2 linked regions of the Caenorhabditis elegans genome follow. The protein of the gene in region 1 interacts with the protein of each later gene in a pairwise test. Each region holds a gene or a part of one and is shown in the gene's direction. Other genes may lie near its edges.

Evidence for each region. The genes of interacting proteins can lie anywhere in the genome.
Region 2: the proteins of mxt-1 (region 1) and ife-2 interact in binary tests that used the Caenorhabditis elegans proteins (3 or more experiments, as listed by UniProt).

What each region holds. Positions count from the first base shown.
Region 1 is NC_003279.8:12,840,813-12,848,943, forward strand, and holds the start of mxt-1 (Eukaryotic translation initiation factor 4E-binding protein Mextli homolog), read left to right. Parts: upstream 1-3,456; 5' UTR 3,457-3,815; coding exon 3,816-3,897; intron 3,898-7,005; coding exon 7,006-7,143; intron 7,144-7,311; coding exon 7,312-7,479; intron 7,480-7,555; coding exon 7,556-7,717; intron 7,718-8,131. Other genes in the region: ptr-17 (SSD domain-containing protein), read left to right, coding at 970-1,088, 1,202-1,261, 1,324-1,437, 1,666-1,887, 2,321-2,421. UniProt on the Caenorhabditis elegans protein: Plays a role in promoting translation.
Region 2 is NC_003284.9:379,691-386,712, reverse strand, and holds ife-2 (Eukaryotic translation initiation factor 4E-2), read left to right. Parts: upstream 1-4,003; 5' UTR 4,004-4,009; coding exon 4,010-4,086; intron 4,087-4,163; coding exon 4,164-4,335; intron 4,336-4,414; coding exon 4,415-4,644; intron 4,645-4,978; coding exon 4,979-5,186; 3' UTR 5,187-5,328; downstream 5,329-7,022. Other genes in the region: ceh-93 (Homeobox domain-containing protein), read left to right, coding at 917-1,431, 2,105-2,191; R04A9.3 (NPL domain-containing protein), read left to right, coding at 6,145-6,189, 6,232-6,318, 6,526-6,630. UniProt on the Caenorhabditis elegans protein: Recognizes and binds the 7-methylguanosine-containing mRNA cap during an early step in the initiation of protein synthesis and facilitates ribosome binding by inducing the unwinding of the mRNAs secondary structures.

The sequences.
Region 1 (8,131 bases):
TGATTCCAGAATGTATTGTTAGTAAAATATTTTATGATATTTCAAAAAATGCTCCTGTTGCTCAGCTTAAGAAGACCAGCAGAGAGAGTGAACGTTGCGTATACACAGTATCTACCCAATTGTGGCATTTCATCTTTTTTATTGATATGTTTATAGGATTACATTAATATAACCTCTTTTACACACAATGTCATGCTTAATAGCCTCAGTTAGATCGCATGCGATTTGCGGGCCGCGTACGGACCAGTTGGACGGATGATAGACAAAATGGTTGCCCAGAGGAATTTTTTTTCATGAAAATTGAGTTTTTGAAGTACCCACAATGCTATTTGGTTCATTGTAGCCAGTTGGCTAATTTTTTGCCTGATTCAAGGTTTAGTTTTAAAAAGTGCAGTTTTGCCGACCGGGACGGTTAATTTACGGACCATCTACGGACCGGCTACGGCCAAACTACGGATGATCACCAAAACGGAGGATAATACGAAAAAATTTTTTCATGAAAATGGAGTTTTTGAAGTGCCTACACTCTCCTTTGGCTAATTTGAGCACTTTTCCCGTGCTAGAACCTGAAATTTTCAAAAACAAAAATTTGGTGCCCGGGACGGTTCATTTACGGTCCGTCTACGGGCCGGCGACGGACCGTCTACGGACCGGAAACGGCCCAACTACGGCTCAAGAGCCATCTCGGTCGGTAAATGTGGTTTTTGCTCTAAATAATGCATTTAACGACGTAAAAATTCTTGAATTAGCCAACTGGTATCATAGGTATTTAAAAAAAAATTGTTTTCTTAAAATCCATTTTTTCCTCTTAATGGCCATTTTTTACATTCCCCGTAGTTTGCCCGTAATTGGTCCGTCCCGCTTTTCATATCCGTAGTTCGCCCGTTAATGGTCCGTTCCCGGTCCAAGATCCGTAAACGGACCGTACCCGCTTTGCCTGTGTGAGCCTCAACCAAAATATTTTTGCAGAAAACTGTCCCAAAAACATGCAAACTACAGTATTATTACATATTCTCCGTTGTGGAATATTGCAGACGAGTATGATATTATGTGGCCACAAACTATGCAGGATATCTATATTTCTATTGGTAAGGCATAAACTGTAAACTACAAACTACAAACTACAATTTTTTTATCACTATAGTTTGTAGTTTGTAGTATGATTCTTGAATACTAAAAACTACAAAAATACTAATTTCAGCTGTCATGGTTCCGGTCGCACTGCTCTTCATTCCACAACCACTCTGCTCAGTTATTATTGGTGAGTTTTGTAGAATTCGTAGTATTTGTAGTCTTCGTTGTCTATGTAGTCAAACATCGCAGGCTTAAATATCGCCTCCATCGCATTCGGAGTCATCGGAACCATGTCCTTCCTTGGTGTCAGCCTGGATGCCACGTCAATGATTACTGTAGCAATGAGTGTCGGATTTTCAGTTGGTAAGACTTGGCTACAAGCTACAAACTACAAACTTTAAACTACTAACTACAAACAATAAACTACAAACTACAAACAATAAACTACAAACTACAAACAATAAACTACCCAATTTTTGTAGCCTTCTCCAATTATATCGTCGAAAATCTGCACCCTTCACTACTGTTTTGAAAGCTCTTGGGGAGCAAAAGTCTAAAAATTTTACAAAAAAAAATTAAAAAAATTTCCAGATTTCGCCGCCCACGTCTCTTACGCGTACATGACAGAATCTGGAGCCCAAATTCCGGGAAAAAGTGCAATTTATTCACGATTTTGTCACACTTTGGGTACAATCGGCTGGCCAGTCACACAGGCTTCAGTTTCCGTACTTTTGGGTGTTTCTTCGCTGTATTTGGTGGATAGTTATGTGGTTCAAACGTGTTTTAGGACTGTTGTATTGGTTATTTTATTTGGTAAGTGTTGTGTAAATTCGCTCTAGTGAACTTAGAAAGTTTGGAGGTCTTAGGGGGCCTGGGAACTGACATGCGGGGTGATGGCCTAGAAAATCCTAAATGTGATTTTCTAGGCCACCTAATTTGGAATTAAAAAAAATTTTGGTAATGAAAATGAGCTCTACCAAACTACTTTACTCATACATCTCCATAACATCTGGGAGTTCACATATAGTTTGGTGGCCTAGAAATTTATAAAATTTTTGGTTTCTAGTCCAGCAACTTCAAAAATTTCAAAATTTGTGATGATCTGCTTTACTGAAAATTTGAATCACAGCTGAAGCTAGTACTACCGTACCCCAAATTTAGAACCCTAAGAACTAACATACATACTGGTGGCCTAGAAAACACAAAATCTGAATTTCTAGGCCAGCAACCTTTAAATTCATTCCAGGTACCACCCACGCATTGGTCTTCCTTCCACTTCTTCTAATGAACTGTCACAGGGTATTTGACTACTTTAAGACAACTTCCACGACTAGTACGGAGCCGTGAAATTGATAAAATATCAATTTTTGTGCAATTTGTAACTTATTTATTTATTTCGTTTGTACATACATGTTTTATTTTGGTTTGAAATAATTTTTTATTCACAAAAACTTGAAAGCAATTCGATATCCAAATTTCAGGTTCCAAATTTCAATCTCGTTATCTGTGTCTCTCTAGGAATTCGTTCTTTTCCGATATGTTTTAGAAAAAGAGACAAAGAGAAAAATAACAATGTGTTGATTATATGTAAATGATTATGTAAATTTGTGCCACCCGAAACTCCCTGACCGTTTTGAATGATGTCTGAAATGATTTTCCGAAATGGAAAATTGAGGTGCAAGATGAGAGATGCTTAGACTACAAACTACAAAACTATCTTAGCCTGAACCAAAAAATACACAGTATCTCAGCAACTGATTTCCAGCAAGAGTTACTGTGTTGTAAAGTACGTAAAAATAAAAACAAAATTTTAAAAAACCAGGTAACTTTGCAGGTGAAAAGAAAAAAAACCAATTTTTGGGATTTTTCGATTTTCAAAATCTCATAACTTTTACTAAACTTATCAGATTTTTCCAATTTTAATTTATTTTGAAGCTGAATATGTTTTCTTATAATAAATCAAAATTATTATCTGATTAACAAAATTTTTTTAAAAAAAACCTAATCCCAAAAGCTCCAAAAAAAATTTTTTTCGAGTTTTGGAAATTTTCAAAATAGCATAACTCCTTTCAAAATTGTCCAAAATTTAAATTTTTTAACTTTTTTTGAAGCTCAATTTTTTAAAACTTTTTTTTCAGTACCACAAAACATTCCAACCAGTGTTTCTAATTTTCCCCGCCGATAAAGTCTTTTGGAACTCAAAATCAACGAATTTTGATAATTAATTTCAGATAAAATGACAGTCTTTTGTGCCAAAAAATGATTCAAAAATACCCCTAATATTCAATTTCCCTTTCCCTCATTGCAAATTTTGTTGTAAAGAAAAACGGAAAACAAAAAGAGACAGAGATGATAGGAACAGAACAAAAAATGGGCGGAGCCAAACTGAGTGGCTCATCTCCGAGAGAATGTGTAAAATCAGGAGAACACAAAGATATTAACACACGGGCGGTGCTGTTCAGTTACACGACGTTTTCATCCCCAAAAACGTTACCCCTAACGTCCCGCCGATATTTCGAATTTATTTTAAAAATTACGAACGATTTTTGGATTTCTGAAAAAAGTTTTTAAAAAACTTTTTTTCGGATTTCCTAAAAAATTTCTTCTACTTTTTCACTGTCCACCAACATCTCCTGCCACCAGCCAACACATTCTTTCTTGCACACGAAACTGTCATTTTAATCTGAAAAAATAATTAAAATCAAAATCAATTGATTTTGATTCCCAAAATCTGAAAAACCATGCTTCATAACTACGACGACTTTGGCGGCGGGAAAATGCAGGGCGCGCCTCAGGTGCCCCGAAACACCTTGTTGAGTGTTGGTGAGTTATTTTTGTAATAATAAAAAAGATAATTGTTTGAGCTTCAGAGTAACTTAAAATTTGGAAAATTTAAGCAAGTTTGAAGAGACTTAAGTTTGGAAAAAATTCGAAAAAAAATGTTTTTTTTTGATACTTTTGAAACTGAAACTTTTTTTGACTTATTGTCATATATTAGTCTAAATATAATTTAAAGTTAAAAGAATATATATTAAACTTCAAAATAAAGTAAAAATTAGAAAAATCTATTGGTTTTGAAAGGAGTTATGATATTTTGAAATTTGGAAAACTTTCGAAAAAAAATAATTGTTTTCGAAAATTTTGAAACATGTGTTTTTTGTAAATTTTTTGTGCAAGTATAGCTTTCTGTAAGAATTAATTGTTTTCCATAAAAAAATTTGAATTTAAAAAAATCTGATAATTTTGAAAATTTAAGAAATCTCGAAAAAAATGTTTTTTTTTTAATTGTGAATCTGGTTTTTTTTTTGGTTTTTGTATTTTTCCTATAAAATTAAAATGTTTTTATAAAAAACAAATATTTTGCTTCAAAATAACATAGTAATTGTACAAATTGGGTAATTTTGGAAGAAGTTATGAGATTTTGAAATTTTTTAATTTTTTAAAAATAATTTTTTGGAAGTTTTGAATTGAATTTTTTTTCAACTGATAGTGAAACTAGAAAAAATAATTTTAATTTTTCGATAACAATAAAAATTTTAGCTTCAAAATAAATGTACAATTTGTTAAGCCCGATTTTTTTTGAAAAAAATTACGGCATTATATAATATAATAATAATAATATAAATATATAATATTCTGATAATATTCTGATCTGATTTTTTGTGAAATGTTTGCAATAAAAAATTGCGAAACCTGAATTTTTGTGCAACTTATTTTAAAAAAACTGTTTATTATTTAAAAATTTTAAAAGCTAAATATTCAGCTCCAAATTGTATGACCAGTTTGCATACAGTTAATATTTTTCAAAGAATTTTCTAGAGGTAAATCAAGGGATTTTGGAAACCCTTTTGTAGTTTGTAGTCCCTCAGTTTGTTCCCAATTTTATAGATTATTTCTGATTTCATAAGCGTTTTTGCAGTTCGTAAACTCAGATTTCTCTCACAGCTGCACTCGATTTTTACACACTTTTTCTTTTCTCCCGGGTGCTCTTCTCTTTCTCTGCGTTTATTCATCCCACATACTCTCTCACATATTCACCCGTTCAGCTCATATATCATCTTAGCTCGTCAAAACGACAAGTTTCTGGTAAAATACTGATTGTGAAAGTAGAGGAAGGGAATTCTACAAGAGTTTATAACTACAAAAAATGACCTCAACCGAAAATATGTTGGGTGAGGCTATGAAGCTTTGTAGTTTGTAGTTTGATAGACTGAACCAAAAACTATAGAGTTGAAGCCATGGGTGCGGGTTTTTCAATGTTTTCAGAATTCTCATGAATCCAAAAATTCCGTTTTTTGATTTATCCATTTTTAGAAGAAAAGTTTTTTTGTTTTATCAGCTGGAATAGCCATCCCGCAGCCCAGCATAAGGCTTAAGCCTAAGACTAGGCCTAAGCCTAAGACTAAGCCTAAGCCTGAGCCCAAGCTTCAGCTTAAGCCAAAGCCTAAACCTGAGCCTAGGTCTAAGCTTAAGCCTATGCCTAAGCTTAAGCTTAAGCCTAAGCCTGAACCTAAGCCTGAGGCTAAGCCTAAGCCTAAGCCCTCGTGCTAGGTAACTTTGTAGTTTATAGCCAAAAACTCAACTAATCAAAAAATAATATTAGTTCATTTATTTCCATCTAAATCAACCCATGTTTAACCCAATTTTCCTCCCCCTCCATCGTTACAAAGTCGATCAGCAAATACCTGAAAAGCGGCTCGCCGAGCCGCCACTTAACATTGTACAGAAGCCGACAAAGGAGAAATTGTTAGAAATGAAAAGACGCAGACAATGTTAAAGAGTTCATTCGTGTATTTTTGATATAAAATTGATAAGGATTAAGTGGGGGGAGAAGACATTTATTTGTTTTTGGAGAAATGAGAGATTTTTGAGACTTTTCGTGAACTTTTAGAGGTAAAAAGGTAAGGGGTTTGGAGTTGGGAATTTGAAAATATTTAATTTGAAAAAAAATATTATTCAGAAAAATTTCAGTATTTTGTTCAGTTTTCAGTAATGATTTCAATTTTCAAGTTAAAAAAAATTGTTTTAAGTAAAATACAGTTCAGAATCCACAAAAATTGATTAAAAATTAAAAATCGACATTTTTTGGTTTTTTTAAATTTTTTTTTCAACAGAAAAAATCTATCAATCATTTCAGCGTTAAAAAAATCTTCAAAAATTTTTGTGCCGAATTTTTTAAAATCAAAATAAAATACCAAAATTGATATTGCTATTTGAAAATTAAATAATATACTTTTTAAATTATTTATTTGATTTATTTTCAAATCTATGCGAACAAAAAACACACCACATACTACATACTTTAAATATTTGTTTAATTTTCAAAAGTAAATTTTATTTTAAAAATCCAGTATTTATTCAAATTAGCTAGAAATGTCAAATTAATTCAGCTTAAATACTGAAATTTTAAAAACTTTATAGTTAAAAAATTTGCACAATCAATTTATTTTAAAATATGATTAAAAGTAAAGAAAAACTTTTCAAACTAAAAGTGAATATTGAAAAGTTCTGAAATGTTTTTAAATTTTTGGTACTTGTGTATTATTTCCCCTCGTTTTATTATTATCCATTTTAATATAGCGTGATGTCCAGTTTCCCTTCTTAGGCTTAGAAATGGTTATTTGCTAAGACTAAAAATACAAAAACTCCACACGTTTTTATTTAAAAAATTATATTTAAAAATGAGGGGAAATAATACACAAGTACCAAATTGTTTTAAAATCAATTATTAAATCTGAATTGTTAACGTTTATTTGAAAATAGTAATATAAAAACGGAAAATTAAATGTAATTTTTTTTAGAAAAATACAATGTTTTTTTTAACTATCCAAGTTTAAAAAAAAATTACTTTCCAAAAAAAAATTCCAAAAAAACATTTTTTTTTCAGAAATTTTTTTTCCAAAAATCCAAAACTCTCCAAACTTTTTCCAGACCAACAACTACAGCTAATGAACACAATCAACAATATGGTACGTGCGAGCCAATTCACTTCACAACTCGCAAACACGATCTTCACACTTTGTGCTCAACTCAAAACTTCGGGTTCGATGCTGGAACAATCACATAAAAGTGAGTGGCCTAATTTTTTTTTTCGGAAAGTCAGGCCATCAAAGCTCTATAAGTGAATAAGTGAAAATTGCAGAAAAAATTCAAAAAAAAAATTTTTTTTGATCATTTTTGAACATTTTTTCCAAAGTTTTAAAACTATAATAATTTCAATTTAAAAAATTTTTGCAGATGAATTAAATAAAGTTTTCACATCATTACGTCAAGCATGCTGTCGAGATAATGGACAACTTGGGACACCGTGTCGATTGAAAATTATGGAACTTGTCGAATTACGGGCAATGAATTGGAGAACAAACTTGGCACACAGCCAATATTATGTCAACAGGCCGGAAGGACGTAAGACTACAAACTACAAACTAGAAAACTACACGCCACAAACTACAAACTATTAAAAAACCTTCGTGTGTTCCAGAACATGATCCAGCTCCAACTGTCGGCATTCCACCGTCTGCCACGTCACCACCAACACAAGTGACGTCATCAGTGACGTCACCTGTCCCATCGTCACCTCAACCGCCAATGCAATTTGTACCACAGAATCCGATGATGTTTCAGGATCCAATGGCTGCAAATCGTACGTTTTTTAAAAATAAGTTTGAGTTGGCGGGAAATTTGAAATTTTCGGAAATTTCGAACAGTTTTCGAGTAGAAGAGGAGCATTAGGGTAGTTTTAAATTTTAAAAAATTCTATAGTTTGAAAATATCTATGTAAAAATTAGAAGAAAAATAAAAGGATTATAAAAAATTAAAATTAATTTTTTTTGATTTACTGAAATTTTTCAACATCTTTTTTGAAAATTTCTGTCAAAAAATGTTTCAAAAAAATTTTGGCCAATTTTTTAAAAATTTTTTCAAAGCTTTATAACTTTTTTCAAAATTGGGACTGAAAGTTGGTTTTTAGTTCATAACGAAAAATTTAGTTTAAAAAATCCAAAATTTGTCAATTTTTTTGGGATTTTCAAACTCTTGTAACTTTTTCAAAGTCTAG
Region 2 (7,022 bases), on another chromosome or scaffold:
AAGGAAATATCTTAAAAGGAGAGAGTTTTGTAAAAAGCGGAAATATTTACGTTATTTATGCTATTTAATTAATTAAAGTTAATTTAAAACCTTTAAAATTTTTTTGAACCGCTATAAGACGTTTTTGAAAAAAATTGAAAATTCTCACTACAAAATAGCACATTTTGAGTTACATAAAAAAACCTAGAACCTAAACTCCTCCTTTAACTAGCGAACAACAATCAAAGTTTATTTGGCAATCCGGCACATTGCAGAAATTGAAATTCCCGGAAAATCGGCAAACCGGCAATTGCCGAAAATTTTTGGCAAATTGTGGTTTGGCAACTGTTTTTTCGAAATTTCAGAGTTTCAATTTCAATCGGCAAAATTGTACTCATCCTATGAATGTTCATGTATTTTGAAAAGTGAGCGAATTCTTTGAAAATATCTAAAGAAAACGGGAAAAAACTTCAAAAAAGTACAGTTTTAAGTGTTTCTGTCTTATAAAAATCCTTCTAAATGTTTCCGGTAAATCTGATATCCTTCAAACGGCAAATTGGCAATTTTCCAAAATTGAAAGTTTTCGGCAAACCGACAATTTGCCGATTTGCCGAGTTTGTTGACAAAAAATTTGCCGAACGACAATTGCCGCCCGTTCATTTAATCAAAAAACACACACTTATTCGTAAAAGTGACAATTTTTCAAAGTTTTGCCTGAAATTTTTCAAAAATCTAACTGTTTTTTATTGTTATTTTTAACTACTACACATTTTATCATTAGTCAAATTGTTTCTGAAACAAATTATTTTTAAACTTTGTCTTAATTTTGAATAAGATAAAACTAAAGTTGAAGGCAACAACACTCACAAGTTTTCTGTGAGAATAATGTGTTAATACATCAGGAACTTGACGGTTGATAATATAGACTTTTTTTCAGAAAACAGTGTATTGTCAGCTGAAGTTTCAAAACAACTCGAAGAAGCATTCCTGCAAAGAACAAATAACCGCGAGGATAAAACGCTACGACCAAAAGATATCAAGGCTCTTTCAACTCAATTGGAGATTAATGAAAAAGAAATTGAAAATTGGATTGCTAAGAAAACTGAAGCAACATCGGGATCAAACTCTACCGAGCAGCAGCAAAAACACAACATTTTGAGAATCTTTGCATCTTGTCGTAGGAGACTGCCAAAACTGAATATTGAAGGGTTGAACAAATACTTTGCAAAAAACAACAAGCCTGGTGTGAGACAACGAGAAAAAATCGCAAAGAAACTAGGGCTCAGTGAACGTCAAGTCAGAAACTATTTCAATAAGAAGCGGATTACCGAAAGAAAACTGAAAGTTTGGAAAGATGCGCCGAAGGACTTTTTAACTCTCTCTAAGCAAACAGTTGATGAAATGATGAAAATTGCTGAGGAACGAAGAAAACCGAATGATGAATATATTCAAGTAAGATTTGTTTAAATTTTTACTAGAATATTTGTATTGGTTTCGCGTTTATGTTTGAAATTTTAAGCAAATTAAGCTTATCTTAGCTAAAATTTCAAATGTCTTTTTTTTCGGGTCACAGCTGTTAGAAGTTCAACTTTTTCAATTATGTTTTTTTGTCGCATATTTCAATTGTTTATCACACTTTTTTTTTTATTAAATAAGGTACATCTAAACGGGGATGAGCGACAATTGCCGTTCGACAAATCGGCAAATTGTCAGTTTGTCGATTCGCCGAACATTTTCATTTTTGGCAAATTGCCGATTTGCCGTTTGCCGGATATCAGATTTGCCGGAAATGCTTAGAGAGATTTTTTATAAGACGGAAGCACTGTCTTTTTGAATTTTCCCGTTTTTTCTACATATTTTCTTAGAATTTGCTTACTTTTCAAAATAGACGTAGGAAGATTCATAGGATGCCGTTTTTCCGGCAAATTCGGCAAATCGGCAAGATGCCGGTTTGCCGATTTGCCGGGGGAGAGCAGCAAACTCGCCGAGTTTGCCGTTCGCCTAATTTCCCGAGCACGGCAATACAATTTCTAACTATTGATTTTGTCTCCAGTTTTTTCAGCATGGCAAATTTGCCGAATACATTTTTTGTGTAATGATTTAACAATTTCTAATTAATTTTCAGATTGCAAATCGTCTTGGAGTTTCCCACATCACCCTTTGCAGCTTCATCGACTGGCAAAAGTCGATATATGCTGGCAAGGCAAAGTGAATAAATGTCAGTCGTGACTTTTTTATAATTGAATAGTTGTTTTTCTTTCAACAATTTTTTTAATTTTGAATGATTTCCTTTTCCTAAATTTTAAGGGTACAAGTAATTTTTTGAGTTTGAAATAAACATTGAAACTTTGTCTGTTTTAGGATAATTAATAGGTAATCTTAAAAAATATTAAATTTCTATTACAGTTGTGTATTTTCTTGACCGGACTCACCAGTAGTCGTACCAAATTGTATTAAAATATCACGGTCAATTGTTAGATGCTATACAAATAAAGAGCCAGAAGCTTTCCAAAAGCTAGTTCAGCTTCTTATAAAAACTATGTAAAATGGTTGCTCGTGATCAGAATCGGCCACCGTTTGATAGGAATGTTCAAATATGTAAGGAGGGGAAAATAGTTACGGGTCAAAATTCAACAATTTTTTTGGTTACATACCGCTTTTTCTGATATTGTGTAATTTCTGTTATGAACTACCATCTTTAATTTAAGGTTGATGCGCTCATTTCGCGGAAAACTTTTATTTTTTGCACAGCAGCGATGTAAAAAGATCTAATGTAAGCAATTTTCAAACATACGAAAAAATAGAATATAAAACGTCGAGTTTGAGAAAATCTCAAAATACTTAGAAGTTGCTATAAGAACTCATGATTTGTATTGGGGGTGCGCGGCAATTGCGTTTTGCCAATCGAATTTTCGGCAATGTCCAAAACCCGCAATTGTGGAAACTGCCGATTGCCGGAAATCAGAATTACAGGAAATACAAATTTGACACTTTTTGTAGATTTAAGAGCCTAAACATGCATGTTACTAATAGTGAATAATGTTCTTTTTTCAAGCGCAATGTAATTTAACCAACCGTGGACCGCACATACGGCGCGGCCCCCTTACTTTTTTTTAGAAAAGACATAGGATATACGGTGCGTATCGCGGACCTCAATCGATGCCTACTGCGCATTTAGCATAAGGTTTCCCAAAATTTCGTTGCTCTGATCAAAGTTCAAACTACATAGAAACGGAAGGGCATAGCCCTTTAAATATAGTAAATGATCTTTTGAGGATTGACAGTTTCGTTCTAGAAAATGACTTATTGAACACTAAAATACAAGGTAAATTTTTTTTCAATTTCCGAAATAAAATTAGGTTTGAAAATCGCCGAAAATGTCCGGCAATTTCGGCTATTGCTGAAATTGCCATTTGCAGGAAATTTCCGACTGCCGCTCACCCCTGTTTGTATCACCATCCGACTGTAAAACAAAGAATGCAAATATTTAATATGTTTCAGAACGGTGTATACCTGTTTGCATCCATTGCCGGGCAAAAAGTCGAACAATTTTGACGGTTAAAAAATCTCCAGGTTCAGTATTTACAGCAAAATGATTAATTTGGAACTTTTTGACATTTAAGTAATTATCTCTCAATCCTCTAAAAATTCAAAAATTGAAATGTTTCACTTCACCGGCTTCTCATTTCTATCCGTTTTGCAACTCAGAAATATATATTGATATATATATTGATTCACCACACTCCAACACTATTTCTTCTCTGTTTATAGTTTTCTCTGCGCGTACCTCTTTTTTATTTGTCACCGGTGCTGCAGCCACTCGCCGCATCACACAGAGAAACCGCTCGCGCGTCTGCATTGTTCCGTCACGGTGTTTGCAGACTTATTTTGGGAAATATCGGTTTTTGCGTGTCTCTGTTTCAATATCACATTTGTTTTTACCTAATTTAGCACTTGACTATTTCAATTTTTCGACATTAAACTACTGCCTGATATTTTGCCACACATATTGTTTTCTTTTCAGCAAGTAATGTCCGAAGAACCAGTCGCAGCTCCTGGAACCATCTCCCACCCAGTTTACAAACTGAAACGCAACTGGACCTGGTGGTAAGCTATTGACACTTTTCCCTAGGCATCAAGATTTTGAATAAATTTTTGAACATAAGGAATAAACGAATTTGTAGGTATCTGAACGACGAGCGCAACAAATCGTGGGAGGAGCGTCTCAAGAACGTGAAAACCTTTAGCAGCGTCGGAGAGTTCTGGGCACTTCACGACTCTATTAAGCCGCCAAGTGGGCTCAATCCACCATCAGATTATAATGTTTTCAGAGATGGAATTGAGCCAATGTGGGAGGTGAATTTTTTTTTTGATTTTTGCGCTGATGCACACGTGGTATAAATATTTTCATAAACACATTCCAATGTGTTTTCAGGTGCCACAAAATCAGAATGGAGGAAGATGGCTTATCACTATCGAGAAAGGACGCACTCCGGAAATCATGGACACTATCTGGACCGAAATTCTTATGGCGATGATCGGAGAGCAGTTTTCCGACGATATCGAAAGTCTGTGCGGAATTGTCTGCAACGTCCGTGGAAAGGGCTCAAAAATCTCAGTTTGGACTACAAACAGTGCTGATGACGGGGCAAATCTGAGAATTGGGTAGGTTTTTATAGTCTAAAAACTAATGAGGTTGTAGAAATAACGTTATTGGTTATGAAACTAGTCTAGTTGATCATTACATTTGATTGAGCCACAGACAACTTCTGGGTGTTACAAGACGCAATTCATCCGTTCAAAAACAATTTTCCACTGCTAACCGTTTGCAACACATAACGTTATTGGTTATGAAACCAGTCTAGCGCATCTTTCATATGTACCACAGAATTTGATTGCTTAATGGTCAGCGAAATTCCAAAATTATGTTAAAGCAGCGGTACATGTAAAATTGACAGGCAACTGTAGAGTAACTAAAGTGAAACTTTCAATTTTGCAGAGGCGTCTTGAAGCAAGTGCTCAACAATGCAAGCATGATCCATCAGAGACCACTCTACGACGTTCTCCGTTATGAGGATCATGAGAGTTGCCAGAAGAAGACGAGCTCAGGAGTCAAAGCGAAGCACGCCATTTACGCGGTGGAGCCACGCGAGGAGAAAGCCCCAGTTCCAGTCTCAACCGAGACTCCTGCCACACCAGCCACTTAAATTTCTTTTTGATGCGTTATTTTTATTAACATATATCTTGTTTTTTTTTAAATCCTAATGCGTATTCACGTCGTATTTTAACATGTTCTTCACTTGTTGAAATGTTTTTATTTGGTTGGCTTGCGGAAATGAACGAATGTTTTATATCTGTGTTTTCCTTCAACTGAATAAAAAAAGAGTGTATTATCATCACTTAGTTTTCTGGATTTTTTTTTTCAAAAACTACAAACTGACTTATAACGTGTCCATGATTTGATGAGAACTGCGGACGCCCGCGTCTCTCTTCTCCACACGCTCCACACGCTCTCTCGCGATAGGCGTTTTGCCTAGACGTTAGACAGCGTTCGAGAAAAGAGACACAGGTGCTTTTTGCGCGTAAGATATGGCGATTTTTCTCACCCTCACATGGATACGTAGCACAAAAAGTCTATTGGGTTTTCAAGACAAATTTTGAAGTATAGCGTCCGGACCGGATACATTCATTGCGTCCGGTGTGTAGGATTTTCGAAATTTTCCAAAGGGTAGGATACCGTGAACGGCGGCTGACAATTTCCGAGTTAGGCCACTCTTATAATCAGTGGCCAAACTCGGAAATTGTCTGCCGCCGTGAAAACCTACCCCTCGGAAAATATTCAAAGTTCTAAGTGTTCAATGGAAAACATTTAATTTTAATTTGGTTTTAATTAGCTTGAAAATTAATTAGACAAGATTTTAAAATTGTCTAATGGAAAACAAACATTTCTTAAATAATGAACCACAGAATTTTTCAATTTTCTTAGCATTATCCAGTGTTGAAACCAAACAGCATTTCTTTAAAAACTTTTATTGAATTTAAAAAAGACAACGTTTAAACATACAAATGGTGGAAAACTTTTTAAGCAAAAATTCTGCGTTAAGCTTGTTTAATTACAAATTTTACAGCTTATTCATCTGTCCTGAATTGTAATTAAATGGGGAAATGGATGAGAACCGAATGAAACGCTTGGAAGAAATGGAGTTTACGGTTGGATTTTTCGTCGAAAATTTGTCCAAATTTTTTTTGCAGTATTCAATTTGCCAAGCATGGTGGGGTGATCTCAAATTTAACTACAAGAAAAAGGAAATAAGATCTCTTCGAATTTCCGTTAGAAATGTTTGTTTTTTTGTTGTCCAACTGAAAAAGAAATTTATAAAGTACCTAACGTTTCAAAGTTAAGTAGTCGGCTGCAATATTAATAGAGGAAATACGGTATATGATAATCAATTTTTGCAAAGTATTCAATTTGAGAATTTTTCCACAATTTTGCAGTTACCTAAAAACTCTGAAAATGAAAATGATTTAGGATACAGATAAATTCAGACTGGAAACACCCGTGAAGTAGCATTTGAATTCCCGGTACCAAGTCTCGACAAACAGAACAGTGTTTCAATTAATCTCTCTGCCGTTGATGTGTCTCAAGTACTGGTGAGTAAAAACTGTGGCATCTGTCATTTTAAAAAGCGTCATAAATTTTCAGTCAAAATTTATTGTGATTTTTTTTTCTGAAACGGTCGGAAATGTTTGAATGAAATAACTTTTTGCACAAACCACATTCTCATGGAAAATTTGAAAATTTTCAGAATTTTTTTAAAAAGTTGGATTGACTGTTGATTTCTATTATAAAATTATGAGTAGCAACAAAGCGGGGTTGACCGTGTTTGACTGCAATATAAGATGTGTACCAGGGCTGTGCGGCAACCGGCAACCCAAGTTTGCCGGTTGCCGAAAAGTTGTTGAAGTTTCGGCGACCAAAAGTTACCGGTTGCCAAAATTTTTTGGGTTCGCAACTTCGGCAATTGCCGGTTGCCGAAAATCTC